2 linked regions of the Arabidopsis thaliana genome follow. The protein of the gene in region 2 purifies or fractionates together with the protein of the main gene of each other region. This does not show direct contact. Each region holds a gene or a part of one and is shown on either strand. Other genes may lie near its edges.

Region 1 (16,090 bases), on a different chromosome or scaffold from region 2:
AATCCTCGTATAGTTAGTGATGTTAAAATCTTGGATGTGTACAATATATGTGAACTGTGCTTTCTATGATGTCACAATCTTCTCTTTGTTATGAGATTTCATTTTAACTCGTATTTTTTCACTATAAAAACAGGTGCAGAAGGACGAGACAGTTCCTGACTTGTTGGTGTTGCCCCCTGGCAGCGATTTGCATGCTCATCGTTTGGTTGCGAATGGACGTATATTTTTGCAGGTAAATTGTGAATGATCTTTGTGAATTCTGTTTGATATTTGGTTAATTTGACTGACATTTATTCTTTCAAATGATAGGGGAAAGCAAGTTCAATGGTAGCAGCAGCACTGCAGCCACAAGCAGGATGGGAGGTAGGCCACAGTTCTCGCATTCATTTACCAGTATTTTTCCATTTGACAAAAAATGTCCCATTTGGTGTTTCTCATGGTGATTGTGGAATAGACTTAATGTATCTTGTCTGCCTAGTTAATGTGCTTTATTTTTCCTATGTTATCAAGGTTCTTGATGCCTGTTCAGCTCCAGGAAACAAAACTATTCATCTTGCTGCTCTTATGGAAGGACAAGGAAAAATCATAGCATGTGAGCTAAATGAAGAACGAGTTAAGCGTTTGGAACATACTATAAAGCTCTCTGGTGCCTCCAGTATCCTTCTCTTGCCTTCTTTCTCGTATAACTCTTTTAGCTTCTGTTTGATAATTTGTCACAAGTGAGTTTAATTACATGGAATTTGAAGAAAAAACTTGATTGGATAAATGCTTGTCAAGTCATGTCCGTCTATGAGGGCTTTTCTTAATGCCAATTTGTAGATATCGAAGTCTGTCATGGTGATTTTTTGGGCCTAAATCCGAAAGATCCTTCTTTTGCGAAGGTAAGCATTACTTAGTCTGTAGCATGACTATCTATTTTTCTTATTGTTCCATGAAAGGTTCCCACACCAACGTTCTTAAAATCATTTCTTGATTTTGGATCTATTTAAGATAGTACAAGTCCAGTATTTTCATTATCTTTTGTTTTGATAGTCTACCGTGAAGAGTCACTCTCTAAAATGAACAAGAGTACCCATCTGATAGCATTGTCTAGAGTCTTGTAGCAAAAGCAGATATAGTCATTTGAGTTATTCTTGATGCTTGGGTGTGGCTGACTATTGCAGATTCGGGCTATATTGTTGGATCCTTCTTGCTCTGGCTCTGGCACGATTACAGATCGTTTGGACCATCTCCTTCCTTCTCATTCAGAAGGTATTAGCTGATCTTCTGTGTGTGTGTGTTATGTTACGAAGTGACTGAACCTTAACACACCTTTCCATGTAGATAATAACATGAACTATGACTCCATGAGACTGCACAAGCTCGCTGTTTTCCAGAAAAAGGCTCTTGCCCATGCACTCTCCTGTAAGTTTATATACTTGTCTCATGTTAGCTAAAACAAAAAATGAGGGTTTTACTTAGCTTTTGAAGAATCTCCCAAACACGTTGATCCATGTTAAATTTCCCCTCTATGAATGCATAAACCATATATACACTAAGAGAATCTTACTCTATATGTAGATATGAATGAGAACTAAAAACTTATATGTTTTAATTAGTTCCAAAGGTTGAGAGAGTCGTATACAGCACATGCTCCATCTACCAAATAGAAAACGAAGATGTCGTCTCCTCTGTTTTACCTCTGGCATCATCCTTGGGCTTCAAACTTGCTACCCCCTTTCCTCAGTGGCAGCGTCGTGGTCTCCCTGTATTTGCAGGATGTAAGTATCACCCTTACCATCGGGTTTCACCTGATTGACTCTGTTTCTAACCTTTTGATCATGTTGGCTTTGGCTTGCAGCTGAACATCTACTTAGGATGGATCCGGTGGAGGACAAAGAAGGGTTCTTCATCGCTTTATTCGTCAGGGCAAACAAACTCGATAACCCAAAATCGTCTGAACTTCCCGATAGAGTGTGTAGACGAAGACCCAAAGAAAGAACCATGCAGTTACATCCCTATCTTTGTCCCAAAATGTTCAGAGCTTGGAGTGGGACCTTGCACAGGCTCAAGACTAGGTTCCTGTTATCACGTAATGGTTGTTGAATTTTCAATTTTGTTTATGCCTTTGATCTTCATGTTGTCGTCAAAATTTTGCAACAAAGGCATGAAAGGAACATCGTAAGGTAAAATCAGAACCTCTTTAACTTTTTATCACATTACAAATTGCAGTACACAACATTATGGTTTTTTCATCAAAACAGAACACACAAAGAGAGATAATAAGCTCAAGCGACTTGAGCCTGAATGGTTTTTGGTTTCTTAGGCTCGGGAGAAGGAAGCTTCTCAACGGTCACCCCTCAACATATTGTCTATGTTCGGTGCTCATTACTTCGGTAAATTTAACTTCCTCACTATCTCCCACATCCTCTCAGTCCACACGTTCTCCTCTTAGCTTCCCTCTGCTTCTCTCCGCTCACCATAAGCACCTTCTCATTCTCAATCTCTACTCTGACATCTTCTCCTTCAAACTCTGGCATACCCACCACAAAAGTGTAGGCGCTCGGGTACTTATAACATAGGCATTGCTGACATATGCTCTTGAGGGATTGCTGCGGTCTGCCTTTTCATGTTCCTCCGGGAATTCGTTCTAGTATGTCTTCGAGGAAAATGGTGGTGTTGAGCCTAACCTGTCCACACCAAGATATATTCGTTGTTTGCCTTTCTGTTATGTCTTTAGTCCTAAAATGATATGTTGTATTGTATCTGTGCGTTAGGTCTTTGAAGTTTATATAGATTGATTAGGAAATGCTTTGTATTCGTAACGTATGTTCCCTTGCAGGTACATAAACGACGAAGCGTGGAAGATTTGTGTCCTATGAATGGTCTGAAACAGTATTTGCGATATCTGGTTAATCTTTTTACAAAAAATGTCTGAATGGTGAAAAATAAGCATTGGATCATAGAGATTGTACATTTGATATATATAAAAATAAAGGCAATTATTAAGCATAGATCACAGATTTAGACTAACCACTGAACGTAGTGAGATTTATATAAAAAAAATAGCATTGAACTTATTAAGACACAACTATGAAAGTAATTAATGTGATCTTTGCCACAACATTATTATTTAGATTACAGTTTAATACGTTGCATACTCATCACAAGAGAATCGAGACATTTAAGAGAACATAGGCATGATGTATCAGTCTCATCCTTGCTCTTCAGAACAAAAGCATCTTTGCATCGCAACGAACATATAGTACAAAACGGTCGAGATGTATGGTTATTGGAAACCACTTGGAACTCACGACTACATAAAAGAAAACTGTGCCCTGGCCTCATGTAAGGTGATTTACCGAGTACGCAGTCGATATGAAGAGTCGAACAACATTTGTCACATGAGTAAAACCACTTCCTTGGATCGGTTGGTTTTTCGCATATCTCACACCAATAATTACCGTAGCGATATCCACTGTATCGTAGATAGAGAGGATGTTTGTCGTTCTTGTTGAAGACCTCTTTTGGTAAAGTAGCACATTTGAAGCACAAAAAGAAATCAAGTTTAACACAACTCAGTGAGCCGTACACCATTTGGTCACACGCCGAGCACTCCCGAGGAAAAAGTGAGAGGATAAATAAGGAATGCAAATGACTATCATGGTTAAACTCGTCTGAGATTGTAGCACAACGAACATCCAACTTTACATTTCCGCTCTCGTACCTAAACCCGTTGCTTGGTCTTTGACAAGCAACACATGTGAAAAAGCTTTTGGAAAGCTCGAGATCTTCTCCAGGTTTAGGATTCGGGTAAAGAGTAAAGTGATTCTTGTGTAACTCATGCCTTTTTGTCCGCGGAAGATTAGCGCATGTTTCATGAAGAATGAAATCACAATGCGTGCATATATAGCATGCATCGTAGTAGAATGGAAGAACGCATGCGTAGCATCTTTGGTTTTCGTCGCGAATAAGAACATCTTGATAAATAAATCTTAATATATGTTCATGACTAAAGTGTTTTATAACTTTGTCATCAATCACCTCAAATGGCGTTATATCCTCGGTTTTGTTATCTCCCTCTTCTTCAGGTATTCCATCAAGTTCTTTCCCATCCCATACATCATCCCTTATTGCGCACTTGGAATGGACTGCATAATGACAAACCGAGCAAGAATACGCTCCATATTGGTTATTGATAATTTTATGGCAAACTCCGCATATCCACTCCTCCGGTCTAAGAATATCGACATGAGAAATACGGTGATCATGACGATTAATACTTATAACACTAGGTAAATCAATGCAATCTCTATGAATGATGAAGCAACATTGAAGACATGTGCAAGGATATGAGGAATTATCTACAGAGCCGCAAGCATCGCAAGTGAAGGAGACAGAATCGATGGGCATAAGGGAAAGCGGGTGCTTGTGGGATGTTGTCTTGTAGATAAGTAATGGCCTCTTCAGACAAGCCATACACACCTCGAACATACAACGTGAACAATTGTAGAACATATCCAATAACTTGTATCTACAAAGACAACATTGGTCCCGTCTACGGTAACCTATGATACGTTCATGCAGCTTAAGAGGATGCTTATGATGAGAAGGGCTGGTGATCTCAATGCAGTCTTCATGAAGAGAAAACTCGCATTGATTACAAGTCAAGACTTTGGTGGGTTCAAGTCTCTCTATGGAACACACTCTGCATTTAGAGGAAATGTTTGTAGGGAACAAAAAATGACGATGAACTGCCAATTTAACTGCACCAAGAAACCCGTCACGGATTTTGTCTATCTCTCCCATGTTTTGATTGTATTGAATTTACATAATATGTGTATATATATTTTTATATTATTGTGTATGATGTATCTTAAGGAGCAAATGATTCCTTTCGTCTAGATCATTGTAACAAAAACCTTTCTTATAAAGTAAACGAAAGAGAACACTTACAAAAAACTATTGCTTTGTTTTGAATTAAGTTATGTCCGAATATTAGCTGGGGCACGTTTCTTTGCTACTTTTCTATAAGGAATCAAAAAGGTGAGGAAAATATATGAAATTGCTTATAAACGTGTGTCTTATTTAGAGAGACAATTTAAGTGATGTCCAAAAAAAAATGATGTTTATGTATTGTGTTAACAATAACGTCAAAAGTAGTGACCCAGTGGTAAAAAATTGGGGATATGGTGTCAATCCATTCCTCCCTTATATTCGATTTTTACTGAGAATTCTTTCACTTCTACTTGGCCAGTCAAAATAGTATTATACTGTCCAAGCCTCTGTGGTCTAGTGGCGCAAGCTTTGATGAAGGGTGAAACCTTCGTACCTAAGTTCCATTTTCTTTTGAAACAAAATTACATTTGTTTGGAAAGTTTGACAATTGGGTCTTAACCTAATTAATTTATCTAGTATTTAGAAATACAGGCGGCTTGACTAACCCCTTGTTTACCAGATCAGCCGATAGAGTATATAAAAAAAAAAAAATAGTTTAAATCATTTGAACGGATATTTAAAAGCTACTTTCATCCAGTAAAATAGTGAGATCGGTTTTGGCTAGATTTGAACTAGTCTGGTATGAGAAGTGTTAGTGTAGTCAAGAATGCTGAACATGTACACCAGAACTATACAACTAAACACAACAGTCAACACATATACCAAAAACAGTTAATATTTATATCTAAATCCTTTAAACTCATTAAATTTATGCTCCACAACATTTAAAGTGACATGGAAACCAAGCAGCATTTGGTGCAGTGACGAGTTAGGTCTCTCATAAAAAGTGAGATTTATGGCCCCTTGAATTCGAGGCTTTTCAGTTAAAATTGACGAGACATATGAGGAATCAACGGCTGACTCTCGTAAATTGTGAGATTATGGAAATCAGTTTGAAATGATTTTTCTACTTTATCCTAAGAAAAATCAAACGAAATTACATGCAATCAAACGATTTAACAATGATAAACAAGCATTTGATCATAAGAACCGAGAAGATTGACAAAAATAAACATAAAGACAATTATATTAAGTACTAGACTACTAGTATAGAGAGCACATAGATCACAAGATTTAGTATTATTCTGTTTGTCAAAACACTATACACTTAACACTTTACTTATCATCTAAAATCAATAAACTTTCATTTACAATCGAAAACTTGCATTTGCAATCTAGACTATTTCTTGGACCTTTTAAAAAAGTTATTTATTTCCATAAAATGTAAGAAATTCTATAAATAGGCTCTGTTATCCATACTATTATACATATGCATCTAATTTTATTTAAAATGTAACTAAAACAGTTATTGATAAATACATTATATCACAAAATAATCAAATGCAAAACCTACAGAAATCAGTAAAAATAAAATAAAATAATAAATATAATCCACAGAAGGATGAAACAAGTGGCGATTCCGACAGAAGCCACTCTCTTCTCAGCCTCATGTAACCTTAAAAACTGTGAGTTTCTCTAACATAAACCAACCAACACTTGCCACGTGCCCAGTCCCATTACTCCTCCTCACACACCTCTTGAGTCCGTTAAAGGCCGCTCCTTTTATGTTATCCACACGACCCATCGTTTTGGCTCTGACTCTATATTCACTATAATAATATTAATACACGAGTTCATAGATTTTGAAGCTAATAAATCCACAGAGATTTTCTCTCTTTGATCACAATTCAATCATACACTCTATTCTCATCTCTTACTCAGGTCAAAACTCTCTAAAGTTGGAATCTTGATTTGGTTTTTAAGGTAAGATTAGCTCAAAATGAGTTTAGGTGCTTTGATGGAAGAGAAGAGAAGAGCAACAACTTCATCTTCTTCTTCTCAGGTACATATGTCAAATGATATAGATTGGCAAATGCTTGATAAATCGAGGTTTTTCTTCCTCGGTGCTGCTCTTTTCTCCGGTGTATCCACTGCTCTTTACCCTATTGTAGTTCTCAAAACAAGGCAACAAGTCTCTCCGACTCGTGTCTCATGTGCCAACATTTCTCTGGCTATTGCTAGACTTGAAGGTCTTAAAGGGTTTTACAAGGGTTTTGGAACATCTTTGCTTGGAACCATCCCGGCTCGTGCTCTCTATATGACTGCTCTAGAGATTACAAAGAGTAGTGTAGGTCAAGCAACTGTTAGGTTAGGATTGTCTGATACTACGTCTTTGGCTGTTGCTAATGGTGCAGCTGGTTTGACCTCGGCTGTGGCTGCCCAGACTGTCTGGACTCCGATTGATATTGTGAGTCAAGGGCTTATGGTTCAAGGCGATGTCTCCTTGAGTAAGCATCTTCCTGGAGTGATGAACTCTTGCAGATACAGAAATGGGTTTGATGCTTTTAGAAAGATTCTTTACACAGATGGACCAAGAGGGTTCTACAGAGGATTTGGGATCTCGATCTTGACTTACGCACCTTCCAACGCGGTTTGGTGGGCGTCTTATTCTTTGGCTCAAAAATCAATTTGGTCTCGATACAAGCACTCCTACAACCACAAGGAAGATGCTGGTGGCTCAGTGGTGGTTCAAGCGTTGAGTGCAGCTACAGCAAGCGGTTGCTCGGCTTTAGTAACTATGCCAGTAGACACAATCAAGACGCGGTTGCAAGTCTTAGACGCAGAAGAGAACGGGAGGAGACGAGCAATGACAGTGATGCAGTCAGTGAAGAGCTTGATGAAGGAAGGAGGAGTTGGTGCTTGTTACAGAGGATTAGGACCAAGATGGGTCTCAATGTCGATGTCCGCAACAACGATGATCACAACCTACGAGTTCTTGAAGCGCCTAGCAACAAAGAAGCAGAAATGATATATTGATAAAACCTTGTTGTGTTAAGACTAACCAAAATACTTTTGATTGAGTTTGAAGAATGTTAATAAACAAACATAAAACAGAGCAAAAGATCATTACCCCTAAACAAAGAGTTATCCCTTCAATCGCCAAAATGTAACAATGAAAAAACTAAAATGTCTTCCTAAATTACCAAATCCATATGACAAATCTGATCTAAACCAAACAGTTAAGCTGTTCATCATCATATGCAAAGGTAGATACACAGAAGCGAGCGGTCAACAAATTTAGGAACGAGCCCTTTTGTTGCTGCAAGAAGGGCACTTGTATTGCTTGATGTGCTCAGCTCTTGCTGGTGTTATCTTAACACACTTTCCATGAAACCACATCTCACAGAGGTCACAGCAAATCCAGAACTCATCAGCTGCATAGCTCTCACCACATGCTCCACACTGTGTTTCACCTTGCTCATCCTCATCCTCCTCTTCCACACCTTCCTCTTCCTCCTCCTCATCATCTTTCGGCTCCGGCTTTGAGAACTTGGCACGGGATTCAGATCCTCGCTGTAACGTGAGACAAAGAAACCAGAATTAGTACAAGGATTAAACTGTAGAGAAGAAGTACAGTGGAAAACAAAGTCTCTACCTTGGAGCTTGATTTGGATCTGTTGCTGCTGTTGTTGGAAACAGAGGACTTATCTTTTCCTTGTTTCTTAGCAGTGCCAGCTACAACCTCAAAGATTGTTGGGAGGTCATTCACCATATTGAAAAGCCTCTTCCTGTAACAAATGTGAAAGAACATAAATCACAGAGAGCTACATAAACGGTGAAGGAGTAGAACAATGAGTGACTGAGAGGCTTGCATCTATATACCACCAAGGAACATAGATGTAAGAAGATTAGACTTAAAGAGGAGAAGGATATACATACCTATCAGCTTTGTCAAATCCAAACCTGGCTCCAAAAAAGAAAGCAACAGCAAGAAGCCAAGCATCACTGTGGACAGCAACAAGGGACAACCAATCCTTTTCCGCCATCCCGTCTCTGGCAAAATTGATACCCAAGACAGGCTCTGGGAGCTCAGGAGGAACCTCTTCAGCTGGCAAATTCACTTCCCAGTGCTCATTTGGATGTCCGTAAAGGCAAAGGTTCTCCTTTTCTATAATCACAAAAGGAAAATGATGACAATTGTTCAAAAAACCTTAAATTAAAACCAAGTCAAACAAAAAATCAACACTTTGACTCCGCTCAAACTCTACACTGCAATTCAAATAAATCTGACAAAATCACAATTTTATCCACAAAACAGAGACAATAGAATCTATGAACCCTAAATGCTTCACTGAAACAACAACAATCAGATTGAAACAAACCACAACGAAGCAAATTCAAAAAACCAAACTTTCGCCGGCGAGAATCAATCTCGAAGGAACAACAACACTCACAAGGATCACAAACAAATTTTTTCTTTAGTTGAAAACACAATCGAACCAAGTCAAACAAAAATCAATACTTTCGACACTGGAGCGCAATTCAAATAAATCTAAACAAAATCATAAACAGAAAAGAGAGAGAGAGAGAGACTATGAACCCTAAATGCTTCACTGAAACAACAACACTCAGATTAAAACAGAGCAAAACATAGAAAAATTCAAAAAACACAAATAAAAATCAAAACTTTCGTTAATTCAAATCAAATCTCAAAGGAACAACAACACTCACCGGGATCACAAAGTCGGAAAAACTCCTGAACATCTGCACACACAAAAGGGTAATCTCAAAATTCAGTTTTTTTCCGGTGACAAAACTGAGATAGTAATAAGAAGAAAGAAAAAACAAATTGTTACCAGTGGTTAAAGCCTTAATCATGCCAGCTCTACGACCCTTAAAATCCCTAAACACCTCTTCAACAGTGCGTGGATTGTACGCGCCACCTGCTTCCATCTTTCTTACAGAACAAACAGCTTCGAAGGAGACAAGACAAGAGTGAAAGAGAGAGAGAGAGAGAGACAAGTATTTGACCGGCGCTGAGAGAATTTGGGTTTGCGAGAGAAAGAAAGATGTGAAAGAGAAAAAGGGCGGACCCAAAAACAATTAAGCGGATTTAATAAGATGAGGAGGAGTCCGCAAAATGAATCTGATGAGGAGGAGAGCACGATAAGTTTTATCTTTCATCCTCTTAGATCTTGACGCGTATCTCCTGATTTCTGTTGTTGTATCTATGGATATGTTTTTAATTGGATTGGCTTATTTTTCGGGTAATAGATGTTTATCAAGCTTGAAATTAAGAGTTTTGTGTTAATGATACATTAAATTGTAATGGTTGTAAGATTGCAGAAAGTTTTATTAGATACTCTGTTTTTTCGAAACAAATGTTCGGTAATCTGGTATCTGCGAAATAAATTTGACCGTTTTTCTGTTTTTCGCGGTAAATGTTCGGTAATCTGGTAACTCAGAAATAAATTTGACCGTTTTCTATATTTTCATTCGCGCTCTTTTTGAACATGGTAAGGGATACATACTTTATTTTAGATTAGTGAGAGGTTTCGGTAAGTGTTTATCAAATATTCAGTTTTTCGCTTTAAATTTCGGTAATCTGATATTTAAGAAATAAGTTTGACTTTGTTCTACATTTTTTGGTTTCGTTTTGTCTTTCGCGCCAATTTTTGGTATTCTGGTATCTGAGAAATAAGTTTGACTGTTAATTTTATTTCTTCACTCGAGGTCTAGTCTTTTTTTTAAAAGAGTAATAATAGTCTGGTTTTGATTAATGAGAGCTTTTAAATAGTCTTACTAGTTACTAGATACCTTTTTCGCACCAAATTTTTGGTGATCTGGTGTTTGATAAATAAGTTCAATCTCTTCTCTTTTTCAAGGTCTTTTTGATTTTTTAATAAGTACTATGCATTATTAATATTTTGGAAAAAAGTTTATTCAAAATACTTGGTTCTTTCGTGTCAATCATCCAAATATATCGATAACCCATATACAATTTGATAGATCGAACTATACACTAGGAATAAAATTGTAGTTTCATGGATTTCATGAATTTATGAATCATATCTAATTCCAATATAGTAAGATTTTGAAGTAGTGTTATCTATAAAATCATGATTCAGTCCTCAATTTTGATATTTTATGTGGATAGAAAATCTTAACTTGTAGGTAATTTGGTGAGAGTGAGACTGATAAAAGAGAATAAGAACTATGTTTTACTGAACAAAGTACTTAAAGCAATGAATATATTTTTGTTTTCTAAATTGAATTGAAGAGACACGGAGAGAGTAGTAATGTTGATAGATTCAAATGTCAAACACCTCCTCTAGAATCCTTAATCTTTGTATGAGGTACACTTCAAGATCTTCAAGAATTCTTTTGATTTTTTTTCTAAATCAAATGCAACGTTAAATTTGACTCTAGAAAATGGGCTTGAAGTCTCCAAGCTAAACTCATTACATGTCACACAGACACGCAAGATAGTGATCTGATGGCTTTATTTGCCCAAACTGGATACAAAATCCCAATACCATCAATAAGTTCTGTAATAATGCAAGCAAGACGATAAGCGCATTGAACTATATTGCATTCAAAGATTGTGATATGCATCAGATGTCATTGAATATTTCTCAATTTGATCTTTTGATAAAGATCCCATGAAATCATTGACGGTTGCATAAAAATTCTTAATGTTTTCGCTAGTTATTATTACATTCACAATTAACAAAATTCAAAATTTATATAAATCGGCTCATCTTCCACTTTTCCAATTACTCATATGTATATGATTTTTCCACAATTTGAATTAAGGTAACTTCTATTATCGTCTTGATATAATTCTCGCTTATCAAACTTTATATTTGGAAAATAACATATTCAATTGGACGAGAAAGATACATATGTGAAACTTTCACTAATCTTAAAGAAAAAACATTAAAATTTGGGATTGCATAAAGTTAAGTCTCACTAAAATCCAACTTGGCAAAGTTATTGCACAAAGATAAGTCTAACAAAATCCGACAAATGGCAAGATTCTAATTAGTTTTGGTTTGACATATATTATTATTATTATTATTTTCATTTTGACATATGTTATTTAATAAATTAAATCTAACACTTGTGAAGAAATTTTTATTCTAAAAAATCATTAATTTCTTAATATCATATAATTTTCTAAAATTGGTAAAAAAAATCTAAAATTGACTATTTTTCTTTGTTTGAGTTTTATTGGGTCTGAGTTTTTGGAAATTTAGGATTTTGTTTCACTAAATAATAAACAATTAAACATGGTAAGTTAGAAAACTGTGTAACAGTTGTAAACACACTGTTTTATTGAAAAATCTCAAAAACAAAATTATCTTCACACTCTTCTCATTTCTCTTTCGTAATATATATAAGATATAAATTGACTGCTTCTTTGATTTGTCACTTTGAACTGCTAATCATTCAATTTAGAGAGTACTTTGTTGATAAATGGTTTTTCAGTTCAACTTGGAGGAGAAATAAGAAGGTTACAAGCTTACAGCCCAACTAAGCTATATAGTTCTTGGGCTTAGCCCAATAATACAATACTGAATTTAGAGAGTTTTATGAGGGCTTCGAAAAGTATTGAGAATAGAAATTGTTTTCAATACTCACTACCAAATGCTTGATTGTGTCTATATGGAGTTATAGTCTAGTACCAAAGAGAAATCTATAACAATTGGCAGAGCTAAAGATCGGTTATTATTCTCATAAATTGCATCTCATATCATACAATGTTATGAATTCTCAATAAATGCAGAGCAAAACAAAACATCTCAAGGTCAAGATGTGATCAAATATTAAGCTGAAAGATAAAGAGTTAACATTAGCCTCGTCACCACAATGCTTTTTTAAGTTAGCTCCATAACTTTTGCTGTCTTCATGATGCAAAGACCCGTTGACGAGTGGAAACATGAGCTTGAGACTTGACGGATACATGAGAAACAATAGGCTTCAACAATGCCTTCACTTCCTCCGGTAAATCGAGTTGCTTCCTAACCTCATTCGCTAACTCAATCACATACTCTTCCTCATGCTCTGTTATCACAACATTTCATCTATCAAAAATCATACCAAAAACAGTGGTTTCTTTAATATAAAGTCGTTAAGAAAGCTCTCTCTTATACCAATGTCGAACATTGCTTTCTCTAGCTTGAAAAGATACTCTCGGTTGTTCCCACAAGGTCCCGAAGCCGTAGCGATTTGCCTCGCCATTTCTTCCAATGGAGCTGGACCTAAGTAGTATTTGTTCGACACTTTGTCTGGTGTTGACGTGAAGCTACACAAAGAAACCAAACTGATTTCAACATTGAAATTTCCTAATTAGAATCATTAAGGGATATTTATGATTAAAACTTACACAATAACTCCGGTAACGATTGGCGTGGAAGTGTCATTTTCCTGCATTCAAGAAATAGAAATCAAATAAATAAATAAAAATACTAAAATTTGGGAAAAAGACAACAACAATAAAACAGCAACAAGTTTCTTACAGTGTAAAACTCAACAAGTGTTTTTGAGTCGTATTCACACTCTCTTCGTTCCAAGTACTGCAGAAGAAACATGAGCCATATCAACATATATTAAGATCCAAACAAAATAAACACACAAACACAAAACTAAACCAATAAAAATACAGAATCTTCTTTTTACCTCCATTGCTAGTTTCTCTTTCTCTGGTCCTCCACGAACACAATAAGCAGCACCCCACTGCTCAATTTAAACAGAAATTTTCAACATCAATTTCAAATTGCATTTTTGCCATAGACTAATTAAGTATAAAGCTATTTCTAAAGCTAAATATGGCAAAATGGACAGTGCTATTTTGTAAATAAATGGTGCATTTTAATCCAAAAATACAAAAAAGATATAGAAAATAATTATAACCAGAAATTCGTTAAAATTCGGCACGAAAATTCCAACACACTAGTGATTATTTTGCAACTAATTTCCACAATCTTCTATTTACTATACTTATTTAATAAAATTAATTTTTTTTGAACACCAAATTCTAATAAAATAATTAAAAGCAATGACTTACGCAAATAGCTCCGGTGGATTGCTCCAGCGTACAAGTCCTAGCAGGATGTTCAGGAGTACCTCTATGATCAATACACGCTACAAAAAAGAATAAGAAAACATAAGCAAACAATTTGATTCAATCTTTCAACAACAACAAAAAAACAATGTGTTGTTATTATACATACCTAGATCGAAGACACGTTTATAGTCCTTGATATAACCAATGAGTTTTTCATCAAAATCAAAACCTGGGTTCCAGATCAAAGAACCATATCCAAATACCCACAAAACCATCTTTGATCCTTAGCCTCACACACAAACAACAATCTTTAGAGAAAATGAGAAGAAGAAAGAATGTGATATTTTTGAAAGAAGTGGGAGAGAATTGTATTAATATATACAGAGTGAAAAAAGATTTTGGGTGTAAAAATAGAATCCCGAGATGTGTGGGAGTTAATGATTTGAATCTAGACGGCTTTTTGAGGTTTATACATTTTTTACCGTACATTTCGGCATTTAAAGCAGATCCTACTCTCTTCCTAACTCTAATCTAACGCATCTTTTTTCTTTCTTTCTTGTTTTTAGTTTGTGATACATTGAATCAAGACACCTTTTTGTTATTATTATTCTTACCTAATAGAGACAGAAATGGTCCAACATAGCATAAGTCTTAGCCCAAACCCACGTTTTTTCATTCTGGTTAGGATATTTTTTTGGGTAAAAGTCAAATTTTGTCTTTAAATATTGGTTGGTGGAAACAAAAGGGAGATGGAGAGGAGTGGACAGAGCCACAAGTGCACAACTCTCAAAATATCTATCTTTTTTGTTGATTTGGTGTATATGGATGTAATGTTGACGATGATTGGCTACTCGAAAGAGATCGATGTGTAATTGGTTGAGTTGGGAGAGATGATTATGGAGAAGTGACTCGTTTTGGGAGTCAAATTGATGACTAAATTTTACTATAAGTTGGTGTAAGCTACACAAGTGGATGTCCTTAGTTGGGTCGCATCTTCTTTTATCTACAAGTTGGGCTCTTAAAACGGCTGAATTTATTTATGGGGAGAATAGTTGGGCCTTCTTAAGAAAATATAGTTTCTACGAAAGTACAACCAAAAAATGAAGAAACAAAATGACTCTAGTATCGGTTCTGCAGCCATATTATTTATATTAGCTTGAAAGCACGTTGAGCCGTGGGTTCATTGGTGTTGGACCACTCATTTTGGATTTGGTGGCACGTTTTGGTTGTAACTTGTAATTACTGTCACTCCCTAAACAAATACTAAAGTCATTATATACTATTATTGTTCAACTCCAAATTGTTAATTATACCACCGTCATAATGTTTCTTTTGTTATTTAGACATTTACGCTCTATATAGTCAGTATACGTAGGGCATGTGTAGCACCGTATCGTTGACGACGACCTTCAACGGCAGAAATGTAGAAGCCGACGAAAGCAAAGGAAACGATCGATGGTCAAAGAATGGCACCAACGTCGTTGATTTCAGAGCAACATCACTAAGATATATATTTCCGGTGACTGAATTTTTGTCTTCACGGAAATATAAAAGTTGTTACCAAAATATTGAAAATTAATTAAGTTAGCTGATTCAATTAATTCTTCTATTGTTCGCCGAAAGTAGTCTTACAGCGACACTGTGACGATCAGTCTCACAAACTCTTTAAATTTTCAGAGCATGTAATAAATATTGTCGTTGAGACAGCGATGCTAGTATGCTACAGAAGTCATTAAAATTGAGAGAGCTGGCTCTACGAAGAGAGATTATTGAGAGTGAGAGAGGCGACGACGTGGCCGAATGTGATTGGGTTTTATTTGTAACAAAACCAAAAAAATAAAGCACTAGTGCTTTGTTTCCTCCGCCAAAAAAGAACCCGACGGTTTCATCTCTCTCTCTACAAAACAAAAATCCGGTGGTATGATTTGCAATTAGTCGACGGCGATGATGTGTGTAATCGTGGATCTGAGACGCCGGATTTATTTAATTGGCAGACGCCGGATTTGTGTTGATGAGATAGGTTCCATTTTTTATCTCTCAATAAGAGAGACTGTTGGAATCTCATCTTTGTTAACAATATGCAACAGAGATTGGAAGAGAAAGATGTGAGAAGATGGTGAGAGTAAGAACAATCGTAACTCGTAAGCAAAAGAAGAAGAGAACAAGAAGAAGTGTGTTGTAGGTGGAAGAAGAACAAATAAGAAAAAAAGAGACCACTCTGTTTTGTTTTGTTTTATCTTAATTGCGAGTGTGCTTCGTAAT
Region 2 (16,041 bases):
GAATATAAAAATATTTGCAGGTCTGTTGCATTTGCTTAGCGAAATATGCGAATAACGAGGAGTTAAGAGAGCTTCCATGCTCACATTTCTTCCACAAAGAGTGCGTTGACAAATGGCTGAAGATCAATGCCTCTTGCCCTCTATGCAAGAGCGAAGTTGGGGAGAAGAACTCTGATTTGACTAGCCAAGGGATCTTAACCTCGCTCTCTTCTGGGGAAAACGATAACCATCAACAACAGCAACAACAACAACGGAGTGAACTTAGAGTTGAGAATGGTTTGGCCAATAATGTTATCTAGATCTTCGAGATTTGCTCTATGTCCGAGAAAACGGCAAATTAGCCGTTTGGCGATGTTCCTACACAAAATGGGGTTTGCTTCTCATTGCTAAGAAGGTGAAGAAAGACACGGCGAAGATCCTGTTCTGTAAATGCTTTTTGCCGTTGTGAATTGGAACCTCTTGAGTGTAGAAGAGTTCGAGAATCGGTGATTGAGTTTGAGCGTGTTCCAAATACTTGTTTTTATTTATTCTCTGAATTTGTCACGAGTACCACCTCTATACGAGAGCCAGGGATCTTTCGAGACCTTGTGCAGCTAAAGTGCCTCATTCATGGTCTCTCTGCGAAAAATTAGAATAAACCAAATAAAATATTTATACCTTTATACTGGACCACAAAACTTTTAATGGCTTCAACGATTTTGTTATCTTAGTTTTTGAATTACTAGACACTGACTCGTTGGCTCGGTAAAATTAGTGTGAGAACCGGTAACTTACAAGAAGCATAAAGATCATAATAGTTTTGCCTTTAGTAGAGAGAGCTCACACAGTCGAATAGAGAACTTTTTCTTAACATTAATCTCGGATGCATATGTTTTGAAATGGTTTGAAAATAAAAGTGATTCAGTTCCTGAAACATTTAAAAGCGGTATAGTGCCATACTAAAAAAATTAACCGCAGAAACCGATCCAGAGACCGAAAAGACACGTCCTTCTAGGCGGTGTTTTCTGCAGATGGGTTTTCATGAACAAACGTGCCAACTGATTTGAACCATCGCAGTAGGTTACGGTGATCCTTTACATAGAGCCATGCCTGAAGAAAGGGGAAGAGACTCTCGTTCACACCTCGTTCCTCTAGGAATCCATGGAATACATCTCTCATCTTCTCATCGAGCTCTCTGTCAAAACAAATAGAAACACTTACTTGCCAATCGAGTGAATTTTCTATCAATTGTAAGTTACGCATTATCTTTAGAACAGAGAAAACAGAATGCTGAATAGGATGCACAAACTCTCTTCTTTAAAACTGAGAAATGCAATGAGAGAAGAATGTAAGGAACATGACAAGAGACAAATCCTTGATTCAAAGGCTTCATAATAGAAACAAACCGATTGTGTGTCAATAGTGAGACTGCACTACAAATATGTCACATGAGGAAGAGCAGTAACTGAAACTGAAAAATCGAAATGTCTAGAACACATCTACCACCATTCTATTCTACATTCACATTCCTCAATAACTGGTACAAAAGAGATAAGCTGTTTCTTAAAATCATCCTTGAGAGAGTCAGAGATTATTTAAGAATGACGATATACTTAGTTGGCCTATTCTTAGTTTGAGAGCTCTGAGTGTAGCAAGACGAGACAGCTCAAAACAGAAATGAATCACCTATAAGGTCTCAACCATCAACTGAATAACTAGAAAGGCAAGCATATATTGAGTAAGTCTCTAAACTCACTAAAAAGAAGTTAAAAAGAGAGAAACTCACTCAAAAGAAGGGCCTGTGTATTGAGTAGGATCATCAGACATCTCCAAAGCCTCAAGTTTTGGCCTCATGGAAACAGAATGAATACCCAATGCATCAGGGTAAAGGCCACAAAGGAAATGCAAAGAATCAGGCTGATTTGGCTTTGATACAGCAACATGAAGGAACAACTGGTTGATCCCACCATCGTCTTCTTCATCACCTCCGTGAGCCAAGCGCATAACGAAAAGATTGATCTCTTCATTTCCAACAGATTTCTTCAGAACAGCACCAGTACTTCCTTCAAGCGACCCTTTCACAATCTCAAATGGTGACGGAGGACTCACTTTCTGCAAAATCAATCAAAAATCTGTAAATCCCACCATAAACCCTAAGTGGAGGAAGCAGCAGCTAAGCTAGGGTTTAAGTAACAGTACTGAAATTTCAGTTGTACCTAAGACGAGACATAGAGAGAAAACACAGAAAGAGAGAGAGAAGAGGAGGAACGAACCGGAGGAGGAGTCATCTTAGAAACCTCTAAGTAATGTTCCTTGAGGGAACGCAGAAGCATCGAATCCACTGCAGCTGAAACGTTGGCGCTCTTTCCACTTCCACCGGCTTTACTAGATAGCGCTCGCTGTAATTGATGCCGGACGGCGACATTTCCGATCACTCTTCTCCACATTTCTACTTCTCCGTCGTCGAGAGTAGCAAGCAACACGACGAATTGTCTTAAGAGAGTAAAATAAATACTGTACCAACTTTTCTTTTTCGTCGAATAAACCGCAAGAGAAATATACCTATTTAGGTTTGTCAAAAATATGATCTAATTCGTTTGATAAACATATAATTAAAATAATCAATTGATTTTGTCGATTCAGACTCATAGATTAACTTTATTAAGCGCTGGCTTAGCCACAACTAATAATATGTAAGATCAAGAAGTAGAAATTGTTGTGGGAGATAAAACAAATCCAAGTATAACCATGATGAGCAAAGAATGTATGTAAAAGGAAAAATTCAAACAGAGTTTCTTCTTGTCATGTTCCATTGTGATAGGATTAAAAGATCCAAAGTTATCATAACTCTAAAACACGACCCAACCACATTCCCCATCAAAAGATTTGTTCAAGGCAAGTAAGTCTCATATGAACAAAACCTATGTTCATATCACAACGGTGGGTGGATTGATTTCTTCACCTCACAGGTTGCTGATTGTAGTTTTTCTTTTCTTTTTTCTTCGCTGCGGCCAACTTTGCCTTCCTCGCAGCTGCTTCCTTTGCAGCAGCTGTTGAAGCACCATCAACCTCCTTGCTTGATTTCTTCTTCTTCATTGATGCAATCTTCTTTAGCCGTTCTTTGACGTCGATGGAAGAAGAAGACTCCTCCTGCTCAGCGGACTCACTTGCAGCATCCGAGTTGCTCTTCACTTCACTCTGGGATTCTTTTAGCTCCTTCTGTTTGTCCTTCTTTTTCTTCTTCTTTGAGGCCTTTGATTCTCCGGTTGTGTTCTCCTTCTTCTCTCCCTCATCATTCACTTCTTTCTTCTCCCCCTTATCTGTTCATATTTGCAGAAGAAACGTCTATCAGTATTAGCCATAACATGGTTTTCTCAGCCAGTGATACCTCAGCGTAGAAAGGTATCCACAGATAAATATCACCAACGAGTGAATAGAGTAGAGTAGAATTGTTACCAACGAGTGAATATAGTAAAGTGAAATTGTGCTATACCTTGAGAGTCTTGTTGACCATTCTCATCTTTGGTTGCAACTCCAAAATCTGCTAGCAAAGCCTCAAGCTCAGCAAGTTCCTTCTTTTTCCTCTCTTTCTTGGAAAGTTGCCTCTCTGCCTCCTTAGGAGGAGCACGAACTTCAGGAGCCTTTTTCACCTCAGGCTCTGCTTCTGGATGAACTTGTGTCTCTGTTCCCTGCTCGTGATCTTCCTCCACATCATCATCATCTCCATCATCAAGAGTGTCTTCTTCGCTTTCAATTTCCTGCGACATTGAAATCAAATGCATCTCTATGAGAAACAAATGAACAGATAGGCACACAACCACGGTTTAGAGAAACCATTGCACAACAAACTTACATTGCCTAGAAAAATTTCGATAACAATGCAATTAGATATATGAACCTTCAGGAGACAAAGCAGCTTACTTCACAATAACATTAATTTCCCTTTCAGAATTCAGACAACACAAGCCTAAGCCTAAGCGAGATAACAACAGTAGAAAAAAAGGCCAACTCATTCAATTCGTGGAAGCATTTGAAATCTAAAGAGGCTTATTGCAAGAGACATATTAAACCAGTGTTACAATTTTCAACATGTGAAATGCATAAAGCTATGATGATGAACCCAAAATCAACATATATATGAAAGATTTGGACTTGTGACCTCAGCGGGAACGTCTTTAGCATCTGAATGGGAGGCTTCAGAAGTGCTCCACAGGGACTGAGGTGGAGCAGTGGTAGCGTAATAATCATCATCTTCATCATCGCTATCGATATCAGCCCAAGCCTTTGCTTTGAGAGGCGTAGGTGCCCAGAAAACCTGTGGCTCAGGCTCCTTCTGTGAATCTTCTCTCTTAGAGGAAGCTTTGCTCTTACCAGCCTTATCAGACTTCTTCTTCTTCCTCGAAGTATCCAAAGCAGCAAACAAGTTGGTGTTCTGAATCGGCATCGATCCCTCATCTCTCCTGTTTCCACCACCAACCATCTTTTTTCTTTCCTCGATCACCACACAATAAGTCACAGAGTGTTTTCTGATAAAAACCCAGAAACGAAGTTTCACAATTTCAGCTGGAAGATGAATCTCGAGTAAGTTAAGGTAATGAAGGATGGGAAAGGAAAAGCTGATGAATTGTCGCTATTTTCTTAGGAAAGGATTGATCTTTAAAGCAAATCCCTTGAAACTCTGATGGACGGCGATTGAAGAAAGCGATGGATGCTATAATAACTACTAGGGTTCCAGACCCAGAAACGACAAAATGTATACTGGTGATTAATACAAGCGTATAATATAGGAAACTGAAATTGAGAGACAAAGGAGAAACAAGAGAATGTTGGAAGCTTCGGGAAGCGATTCCTATAGAATGCGAGAGAGAGATGATTAGGGTTTTCTTAAGGGATGTGGTGTGTAGCAATCGTAGCGATTAGAGCTACTGGGCTACACGACAAGGGAAGGGGATCTGTCTCTATTTGGGATGTTATCTCCTCTCTTATGGATCATCAAACCGAACATTTGATTACAAAATTGAACCGAACATTTGATTACAAAATTGAACCGAACATTGGATTAGACTGTCTAATTAAACCTTAATTTGGTTTATGAACTCAATATTAGTTTTTCCAATTAAGCCAATTTTATTTTATTTTTCTGTATTAAAAAAGCAAATTTTGGGTTCCAATATACAATCCACCCGCCAAAATATTTTGTCAATTTTTAACGTATTTTTGAATCGAAAAAGGAATTTCTGAACTTTTATTGTTTTTCTTCTTGTGTTTATACATTGCTCTAAATCTTATGATACGTTAATAATGACCTTAATTCATATTTATAAGGAAACCAAATCTATTTTTTAAATATTCTTAAAGCTTAGTTTACACTATATAATTAATCAAAAATTGATTCCAATCAATCTCTCTACTACTAATTCTTTTTGCTATATGTCTATATTTAATAAAAATATATATTTAAACACATAATAAGGTAGTAATACACTAATACTTAAATATGGTCCGAAAACTCCTAATAATATGTATATATATATTTTTACAAAATATTGGAAAATTGTTAAGCTAATGGATGAATGAAGTTTATATATTAAAAGAAAATAACAATAATATATATATATATATATAAATTATTAAAAAGATAATACTGTAATGTGATGATTTTATACTTAAATTATCCCCTAGTATTCTAGTAATAATAGTTGTTAAGTTGAATGATGTCTCTAACAATTGTTGGCTAGGTGGACAAACACAAGATTGCGGTAGGTTAGCAACACACGTGACAACAATAAATTATTCTCTCTGAAGAAATCTTTAAATCCTGACCGTCCAAACAAATATTTCGCAGCTGAGAATCTCGAACGTCCATTATATCTTTTCTGTTGCAGAGTTAAAAATTTAGTGCTTATTTCGAAACTAAATATGGACCGTAGATATAGTAACGCGTCTCCATCGGACGGTACCCGTGATACGATGTTTATTTGGAATATGTTTTCTTTATAACTGAAAAAACCTTACTCTCGCGGAACCAGACGAAACCCTAGCTCTCCCGTTTCTCCCGGTTAAAAAAGAAAAAAAAAAGAAGCAAATTTTGCTTTTTTTATTTTCGGCTAAATTGAACGAATACTTTTGGGAAATTTTCGATTGTTTGATTTAGGGATCCGATTCGCAGTCCGATTTACCGAAACCCTAATTTTGATTTTGGGATTGTGGCGACTATAAAGGTCCTTAAGAGACTCGATTTCGTCTGATAAAGTGATGCAGGTAGGCATGCAAATTTCTCTCTTTTTTTTTTTAATTTTTTGCAGTTAAATTTTGCTTGATTGTTGAAAAAACAATTGCTTGGATTTCAATGCAAAGTTTTTTCCTGAAGTGGGATTTGATCTGTTTCTTTGGGTGACTTGTGTGTTCTTCTTTTATCATACTTTGGGTACTTTTTGTGATTCTGGGTTTGGTTTTGGTGTCACAGATCTGAAAAATGTTTGCTTGCGTATATGATGGAATTTGAGACCTGCTGGCTTTTGATTCTGGGTATTGGTTCGAGGTGGCTTTCATGGAAAATAGACTAGGTAACTCTAATGGAGTGGGAATTTCGAAGAAATCCAGGTCTTTAGATCTTAAGACGCTCTATAAGTCTAGCATTTCCAAGGATTCAGTGAATAAGAGCTTTAAAAGAAAACATAGGTCTGGGATTGATGGTGATCAGTTGAAGCAGGACAAGAAGAGCAGGAAAGTTGTTTCTCTAAGTAGTTTTAAGAAAGTAGGTAGCCAGAACGAGAGTATTCTGGATAAGGCATGCAATGGCACCACTATATTGCACAATTTGGAGGACTCCAAGGAGGTGGGTTTGGATGAGAAATTGTGTGACAGTAATGGGCTTCAAGTGATTTCTGTTGGTTTGGCAAGTAGTACGATTTATGTTCCTAGACGCAGGAGAGATTTTGTTGGGAGGAGTAGGTTTGAGAATGGCCTAGCACAGAAGTCTGCAGGGGAGTCTGATAGTCAGGAGGAGCTGGTTGTTAATATCCCTAAGGTTACTGCTGAAGAATCTAGTGTTCAGGATCAACCCTCTAAAGTTGAAGAGAAGGACTCTGACAAAGATATCAAAGAATCTAATTCCGCAGCTCCGTTGCAGTTGGAAAATGGGCATTCTAATCAGTCTCCAGTGAAAGATGATCAGCTGGTTGTTGTTAAACAAAGAAATAGTAACAGCAGAAAAAGGAAGTCCTCAGCATCAAACAGACGCGTGGGAAAAGAGGCCAAGTCTTCAGGTGATGCTTCTGGTAGAATATCCAAGGTATCACGGGAAGATGATGAGGAGAATCTTGAAGCTAATGCTGCAATAATGCTGTCTTCACGGTTTGATCCAAACTGTACCCAGTTTCCTTCAAATTCTGTTACTCCTGGTTCACCATCTGCGAGTAGATTGCATCCATTGCCTTCTGGTAAGAATTCAGTTGATCCTCGGTCCGAGTTGCTTAGTTCTAAATGTGTCTCAGATGACACTGATGATAGAATGTTGCGACCAAGGAGACATAATGATGATGGGAAGGGTAAAGTTCGGAAAAGACGCCACTTTTATGAAATTTTGTTTTCAGATGTGGATTCACACTGGTTGTTAAACAAAAAGATTAAAGTTTTCTGGCCATTGGATGAGAGATGGTATCATGGGTTTGTGGATGGTTTCGATGGAGACAAGAACCTGCATCATGTAAAATATGATGATCGTGATGAGGAGTGGATCAACTTACAGGGTGAAAGATTCAAAATTCTGTTGTTTCCTTCTGAAGTTCCTGGAAAAAATCAGCGGAAAAGGCGTTGTTCAGAGTCAAAGTCTACTCAGAAAGTAAAAGGGAATGATACTTCCAGCAAAGACGAGGAGAAGCAGAAGGAAAAGCTAGAAGATGATAGCTGCATGGAATCAGAGCCAATCATCACATGGTTGGCTCGGTCTAGACATCGGGACAAATCCTCCACTCTTAAGGCTGTACAAAAGCGGAAAAAAACTGACGTAATGACATCTAATGAATCTGTTAAAATGAATGGGGATGTCACAGATAGATCGGCTAGTTCTCTTGCATCATGTGGATTACCTGGACCAAGTAAAAACGAGTTGGAAAGCTCTGGTTTTCGGAATGGTAGCATATTTCCTATTGTCTATTGTAGGAGAAGACTTCATACAGCAAAGAAGGATATCTACAAAGAGTCAGGTTACAATAGTGTTGAGTTTTTGAAGCAGTTTCTTGTATCAAAAAGTCCGGATCCTGGTGTAGAGTTTTTGCCTATTGAAGATTCTGGGGATCTGGAGCTTTGTTGCCCGTGGAATGAATCAGAGCAATTTGAGTTGTCCCTCAGCCTACAGGGTGTTTCCTTGATGAGCTACTTTCTTATGGCCGATGTTGACTGGCTTTCACGTGCTGCTCTTTTGCTTCGTCATGGTACACTTGTGACTTTGTGGCCAAGAGTTCGTTTGGAAATGATTTTCCTGAATAACCAAGATGGGTTAAGGTATCTAATTTTTGAAGGCTGCTTAATGGAAGTTGTTCAATTGATTTTCCGTATCTTGATGGTAGTAGATCATTCTAATAAGCAAGGAGCACAAGGAGCGGATGCTGACTTGCAGTTGCCAGTTTTCTCAATTGGTCTCCAAGTTTCTTGCATCCCAGGTTTCCAAAGGCAGCTTGGATTTCAAATCTACAGTTTCCATGAGGTGAAACATTCAAAGTGGTCATACTTGGAACAGAATGTCAGGAGACATTCTTTGCTGGTTAAGCAAGTATCAATTGCAGAGTGTACTCACAATAACATGAAGGTCCTGCAGAAGGTACAGTGATTCTTTAATGAATGTTCTGGTACATTGCTTCGTTGGTTATACTTTTATTTCTATTATCTCATACCAATTCGTTTTTTTTTTTAATCTTGCACATCAGGTTATGCAGAAGAGATCTAGGCATGGAATCAGCTCAGGCCTTGTTTCTAGAGGATCATCATCTGCTGAAGCGTGGCCCACATCTGTTTGCTACAAGAAGCAAAATACGTCTCCATTTGCACTTCTTTTTACTGCTCGGCCACCTACACTGTTACTCAGTTTACACTTGAACATGATAAGGGAGCTGGGTCATGATTCAGCAGACTTCCTAGGAATAGAACGCGATTTGGTAACACATAGAGGTTGTGATATGGCAGATTTTACAAATGAGCATTCTGAACTGTCTCTCAAGAGTAAGAGCCAAACTGATGAACCAATTATCACTTCTTCCAGAGCGCAAGAGTCAAAAGACCTTCATACTCCGTCTCAAAGTCAGCAGCTGGGGTCTGATTCTGAAAACTGGATGTCATACAGTTCTTCTGTTGTCAGACATAAGCATGAAACCAGGTCTAATGTTTCGGTGAATGGGATTAGTATTCAAGTTCCAATATCTGATGATTGTGAGGATGGTACTCCGCAGTCAAGTAATCTGGCCTTGAATATTCAAGGTAGTAGCAACTCAAGTCCAAAGGCCACTGCCCCAAGAAGTATGTGGAACCGAAGTAAAAGTTCTTTAAATGGCCATCTCTCGCATGGTTGGTCGGATTCAAAGGGAGACTTTTTGAACACTAATTTGGCAAATGGACCTAAGAAGCGACGTACCCAAGTGTCTTATTCATTGCCTTCTGGGGGTTCTGATTCTAGAAACAAAGGTTCCCTGCTCAAGGGGATGCCGAACAAAAGAATTAGAAGGTCTACCGCTGATGTTACCAAAGGTATTCAGAAAGATCTCGAGTCTAGTTTATGTGATGCCAATGTATTAGTCACTCTTGGTGATAGAGGCTGGCGAGAATATGGAGCTCAGATTTTCCTGGAACCTTTTGATAATAATGAATGGAGACTTGCGGTAAAAATCTCAGGGACAACAAAATACTCACACAGGGCACATCAATTTCTGCAACCTGGGTCAGTGAATAGGTTTACACATGCTATGATGTGGAAAGGTGGAAAAGATTGGACCTTGGAGTTCCCTGATAGGGGCCAGTGGTTCCTTTTTAAAGAGATGCATGAAGAGTGCTACAATAGAAATACTCGGGCTGCTTTAGTTAGAAATATTCCTATTCCTGGCATCCGCATGATAGAAAGGGATAATTTTGATGGAACAGAAACTGAATTTATTCGCAGTTCTTCTAAATATTTTCGGCAGACTGAAACTGATGTTGAGATGGCATTAGATCCTTCACGTGTTATGTATGACATGGACAGCGATGATGAGCAGTGCCTTTTGAGAATTCGTGAGTGTTCGAGTGCTGAGAATAGTGGCTCTTGTGAGATCACTGAGGACATGTTTGAGAAGGCAATGGACATGTTTGAGAAGGCTTCATTTGTAAAGCAGCGTGATAACTTTACCTTAATCGAAATTCAAGAATTGACGGCTGGAGTTGGATCCTTGGAAGCAATGGAAACAATATATGAGCTTTGGAGAACAAAGAGGCAGAGGAAGGGAATGCCATTGATCAGGCATCTTCAGGTACAATCTCTGATGCCTTTTCATCTTTTATTATTTATTTGGTTTTCATGTTTTTCTTGAGATTTAAAAATCTGCATGACTAGGCTCAACATAGATCTTTTTGGAATCGGGGGAAATGCAGAATTGTGGACAATAAGGCTATGTCTAGTAGTAGGTATTACTTAGTGTTCTTTTCAGGATATTGAATGATGTGGGTGTTTTATGCAAATGGAACGTCTATTAGGGGGAAAATTGCATCTTTTTGCATTCCAGTTTGTTGTGCACGAAGATGTCTGGAAGTCCATAACTGTAGCATCTTCTATAGTCTGTTGATTTTACTCCTTGTTGATTAGTCTTACTTGCTAGCTCAACAATAATGTAGTTACTCTGCTGCAATATTTTTAATTTTGCCTAACGTAAACACTTGTTTTCTACCCTTGCAATTCAGCCACCTCTATGGGAAAAATATCAAAGGGAGCTCAAAGACTGGGAGTTGGTTATGAGCAAAGCAAACACTCCAAATTCCTGTGGGTCGCAGAAGAAACAGTCACCTACTGAGAAGCCAGCGATGTTTGCTTTCTGTTTTAAGCCTCGAGGTTTGGAAGTCAAACACAGGGGAACAAAACACAGGTCACAGAAGAAACTCTCAGTTTATGCTCAACATAGTTCTGCTTTGGGAGATTATGATGGCTGTAATTCATCAGGTAACTCGTTTTTACCTGCTTGATATTCTATAAATCCTCTATTGACTCTGATTTTTCAAAATGAAGTCTGTGTTTAATCCAACTTTTCCATTTCTCTAGCAGGAAGAAGACCTGTTGGTTTTGTCTCTGGCGACGAGAGGTTTTTATATTCAAATCAAAGCTATGAGCACTCGAATGAATTTTCTGTACATCCAGGAACATATTCCCCTCGTGACCTAGGCATGGGATATTTCTCGAGCGGTGGAAATGGATATCATAGGAATCACCAAAACAAGTCGCAAAGAATCAATGGGAAGAGGAATACGAGTGAACGATGGGATGCAGGCTATTCTGAATGCCCCAGTTCCAATCTTGTCTGTTACTCCAACGGATCTCAGCGTCCTGATGTGGAAGGAATACGGAATAGTACAGACATTGATGAGTACAAATTGCGAGATGCAGCTGGTGCTGCAAGGCGAGCATGCGCTTTGGCGAAGCTCAAGCGGGAAAGAGCAGAGAGTTTGAGGTACAAAGCAGATCTAGCGATCCAGAAAGCTGCAGCTGCTCTCATGTGTGCAGAGGCAGTTAAAGCTTCTTCCGAGGACCTAGGCAACAACAATGGGGTAGAAAGCTCAAGCGAAGGATGAGTCAATAGATACCACTCTTGTTAAGTCTGGGTATTGTCACCTCTTGAGCAAAAGAAGAGATAGTGATTCGACATGTCCTGTTCAACACACGAGCTGGTCTTGACACGAATTAAAAAACGACCCAGATGAGCTCCACTGTACAGAAATTTGCCTCCCTCTGCTTTAAGTAAGCTATATTTTGATGCAGCAATAACACCGAACTGGGACTCTGAAACTTGATCTCATGTACCCATCGGCTGGGAATGTTCTTAGTAGGTTAAGAAGAGAGACAAAAATTGAGGAGATGGTAAAAAAAAAAAAAAAAAAAAAGAGAGAAAAAAGAAAAGAGGAGATTGTAAGTAATTTGGTTTATTAGGCTTCTTTTGGTAGAGAGATTTAGTTTGAGCAAAAAAAAGATTATTCTACTGCAAGTATTTTGCGGTGCTCTTCTTCTCCATATTTCTTCTCTGCCTTCTTTTCAATTTTAGTCAAGATCATAAAGTTTGAAAAATATTGAAACGAAGTCAAACTTGCAACACTTGCCATGTAGTCATATAATTACAAAAATTAGTTACAAATCACATTTGTCAATACTCTTCCAAAAATTTAGTATTCTCTTATAATTTGTAAAACATTGGGAAAAATGAGAGAGAAGAAAAGGTGGTGAGAGAAATTCCAACGGCGGGAAATCTTTGAAGTTAGCAGTTTTGTCGGAAGATGTCTCATTCGTTTGCTGGCTTCATGATCTCTCTGTTACTTATTTCCTAAATTTGTCATATCTTGGACAACCTCCTGAGAGAAGTTCTTTCTCATCATTCTTTCCACCCCAAATTCTCTTCTTCGACTGGTTCCTCTTCTTTTTGTAAGGTTTTTCTCTTCTCTTTTTTTTTTTGTTTGTTTGAACATTTTAGAGCATCAGGGGCTTGAAGCTTAAAATTTCCCATGTTTCTCGCATGTAACGTAAGATTAAGGATTTAAAGATGCACGAGAATAACCTCAATGTTTTTGGCTTAAGATAGTAATTTCTTCTCAGGTAAATGATGACATTGCTCTTTGATAGGATTTCTCATTTGAGATATTGTTTTTCTTCATGAGAGAGGCATTTTTCCAAGAATGAAGGAAGACGAGCGAACCGAAAAGGCTATCCGGAGTTTATTGAAGCTTCCTGAGAACCGGAGATGCATCAATTGCAATAGTCTGGTTGGTACAACATTTTTAGCTGATCATACGTACATTCATTTGTTGGAGCCAATGATCCATCTGAATAGCTCATTGTTGTCTAACATGTGAATCTTTGCAGGGTCCACAATATGTATGCTCAACTTTCTGGACTTTTGTCTGCGTTAACTGCAGCGGAATCCAGTAAGTCTTTTCCTCTTCTCCTTTCATTTTTCTTCTTTTGATTTCTCTATCAATCCAAGGAAAAACTCTGGTACTTGCAAGTGTTGGTCCAAATTACATATCATGCATGTGTTTCTTTTTGTATATATTTGCAGCCGAGAATTCACACATCGTGTTAAATCTGTATCAATGGCCAAGTTCACAGCAGACGAAGTTAGTGCACTTCGCGCAGGAGGAAACGAGGTTTGATATTGAGCTTCTCATTTTGTCTCAATCATCCATCTTCTAGTACTGTAAACTTTCATTGTGTTCTCTGCAGCGAGCCAGACAAATTTATTTTAAAGAATGGGATGCTCACCGTGATGGTTACCCCGATCGCAGGTTCTTGGACATTTATTAATCTCAGCCAAGTTAACACTAGGAGTAGCAAAATTTTTATATGTTGACCTCAGTTTTCTTTCTTTTTGTTCAGTAATATTTTCAAGCTCCGAGATTTCATCAGGAGTGTTTATGTGGACAAAAGATACAGTAGCAGTGACAAGATCTCACAGCAGAAATCGGTAAACTGCTTTTCTTACTTGCTTCATTACATTTACCTTTTTCTTGATTCAGCTTAATTAGCCAAACCTGAAGCTAAGTGTTGCAACTCATTTTGGGACAACATTATATGTTACAATGTTTAGGATGTCACAGAAGATTACAGGGAAAGTAAGAAGACCAGTGCACATGTTCTCGGATCTAGAAGTTTACACTCTGTGGATAAATCTGACATCGAAAGATCTAGTGCTGCTGGGAGGAGTGGAAGTGAATCTCTAAGGTTTTATTTTGATGACAAGAACCATAAACAACAACATGTTACGCATAATCCAAGGTCTAGAGGTTTACCAAAGAGTCCTATTCGCTTTGAGATAGTCGATGATAGGTTTAGAGACGATGGGAGTGTTAAGAGATATGATGCACGTAAAGATTCAAGAGGAAGCTCCAAATCACTTGACCTCTCAAGTAACAAAGACATGCCAAGCTTTCCCATTGTACGCCATACCAGCGAACTCAATATTGTAAAAGTTGAGAAAAAGAAGGATCCAGTGAATAATCAGGTAATCTACAGTTATATCTATTGCATTTTGTTTTATGCATTTTGTCTAGAGTTAATATGTGAACAAGTTGCATTTTGCAGATGACTGCATCATCTGAGAAAATGGAAATTCCTAGAAGTTTAATTGATGATGTACCAGTTTCAGAACTATCTGATGAAGGCATTATTAAGAATTCAAGTGAAATTCCTGCATCTCTAAAGACCACTGAGGAGCCAGCTCCTAATTCTTTGGAAGCTTTGTTGTTTGGATCCTCTGTTCCTTCTGTTGTCCCTGGAACAAACAACTATGAACTATGGAACACAAGTGATATTTCCTCTACTGAAAACTATACCGCAGTTAACCTCGGGACCCAGACAATGCCAGGAATACCAGACAGTGTTACCTCTTTTGCCACATCACCAACAACTGCACATGCTCATTCCGGTTCTTCAGGTCCAGTGGTACCTGTTGCTCCTGATAACTTAAATACAAAAGAGACGGCTACACTTGCAAATAACCAGGTTGGTCTCTGTAGCAGTTTTTAAACACACATTTACAAATATTTTCTTGAATTCAGGAGTTTAAGCTGCATCAACTGTTAGTAACAGTAGATGTAACCGGATCATTTACAGACTTTGAAAAAGAAGAAAAGACTATAGTTTCAATAAAACTTGTTCTCTTCATGTGCTAACCCTTTGCAAACACATGTGGCATCTACATATATCATCTAAGGGACCATCAGATTTCTCTATGGAACAGACAACACTGGCTATCACAGATTATGCTCATGGAGTTGGATCTGAGCATCATCAAGATGATGAGACACAATCTAGCATAAGAAAGGCGCTTCCTGAGGTAACGAACCCTTCTCTTATAACAGAAATTTGGATACTCTTTTGGGAATCTCTGATCATAAGAATCTAACCATTGGCAGGACCTTTTCACTGGAGGCTTCTCATTTGCCCCTCAGCAAGTTCATGGTCAACATCATGGCATGGGATATGGCATGCAATATTATCAATATCCTGTGGTATATGTTCCATTGACATAATTATTACAGCATCTGGTTTTATGCTGATATATGTCCTTTTTCTTAGCAGGCTATGGGAGCCTTAACATATACAGCAAAAGCAGCAAATCCCTTTGATCTTAGCTATGATGATACAGCTCCAAACCAAACACCACAAGTATGAATCCTAGAGTTAATTTCCTGATAGTATATATGATGAAAATGAATATATATATATACTCAGTTCCTTTCTCTTTTCTATGTCTTTTACAGTTTCCTACTATGGCATATGTGCAAGGAGGAGGCTTACCTCACGTGTCATCTCCAATAGGGTATTCAGATTCTTCAAGTCCAGCTGCAGATTCCATTGGACTGATGACCTCTCAGTCACCTTTTCATGCAACCGCTTTATCCCCAAACTCTCCAGCTCTTGCATCCCATCTTTCCCCTGGTGAGACGAAATTTATGTAAAAAGACTGTTTTCAGTGGTTGGAGTTTATATTCTAAGAGTTGAAATCTGGTGAACAGGTGCACTAATGGGGCAGCAATCACAGGTGAATATGTCCCCATCATTCAGGTACATACATACTCTGACTCTTCTTAATTAGTGTTCACTGAATGGTTCTTGACTCTAAATTGATTTTGGTGTGCAAAGGCAAGAGTATAGTGGTCTTGGTACAGAAGGAAATACGTTCAACGGAGTACATACATTTCATCAAGCAAACAATGGATATCCTTCTGCAAACCCAAATGCTTATGTATCCAGAGGAAATCCCTTTGAATGAGAAACAGCTTAATGCAGAAGTTTTCTGATTACGGAAATGGGATGAGATTTCGTATAATCCTTCTAAA

Evidence for each region.
Region 1: the proteins of AT4G32605 (region 2) and AL4 fractionate together in Arabidopsis thaliana (co-fractionation; one large-scale study listed by BioGRID). This does not show direct contact.

The regions. Positions count from the first base shown.
Region 1 is NC_003076.8:9,150,511-9,166,600, forward strand, and holds AL4 (alfin-like 4), read right to left. Parts: upstream 9,984-16,090; 5' UTR 9,712-9,983; coding exon 9,615-9,711; intron 9,523-9,614; coding exon 9,490-9,522; intron 8,927-9,489; coding exon 8,698-8,926; intron 8,547-8,697; coding exon 8,414-8,546; intron 8,332-8,413; coding exon 8,056-8,331; 3' UTR 7,808-8,055; downstream 1-7,807. Other genes in the region: AT5G26180 (S-adenosyl-L-methionine-dependent methyltransferases superfamily protein), read left to right, coding at 134-232, 310-363, 511-655, 820-881, 1,164-1,251, 1,324-1,404, 1,599-1,760, 1,841-2,085; AT5G26190 (Cysteine/Histidine-rich C1 domain family protein), read right to left, coding at 3,118-4,788; AT5G26200 (Mitochondrial substrate carrier family protein), read left to right, coding at 6,758-7,786; AT5G26220 (ChaC-like family protein), read right to left, coding at 12,668-12,825, 12,915-13,066, 13,148-13,188, 13,281-13,337, 13,441-13,497, 13,829-13,905, 13,995-14,103. UniProt on the Arabidopsis thaliana protein: Histone-binding component that specifically recognizes H3 tails trimethylated on 'Lys-4' (H3K4me3), which mark transcription start sites of virtually all active genes.
Region 2 is NC_003075.7:15,725,439-15,741,479, forward strand, and holds AT4G32605 (Mitochondrial glycoprotein family protein), read right to left. Parts: upstream 2,540-16,041; 5' UTR 2,427-2,539; coding exon 2,253-2,426; intron 2,092-2,252; coding exon 1,766-2,091; intron 1,175-1,765; coding exon 991-1,174; 3' UTR 763-990; downstream 1-762. Other genes in the region: AT4G32600 (C3H4 type zinc finger protein), read left to right, coding at 21-299; AT4G32610 (copper ion binding protein), read right to left, coding at 2,938-3,299, 3,473-3,737, 4,139-4,459; AT4G32620 (Enhancer of polycomb-like transcription factor protein), read left to right, coding at 6,530-8,800, 8,907-10,475, 10,903-11,158, 11,258-11,784; AT4G32630 (ArfGap/RecO-like zinc finger domain-containing protein), read left to right, coding at 12,877-12,963, 13,064-13,125, 13,260-13,347, 13,424-13,485, 13,577-13,664, 13,788-14,201, 14,282-14,701, 14,913-15,035 and 5 more.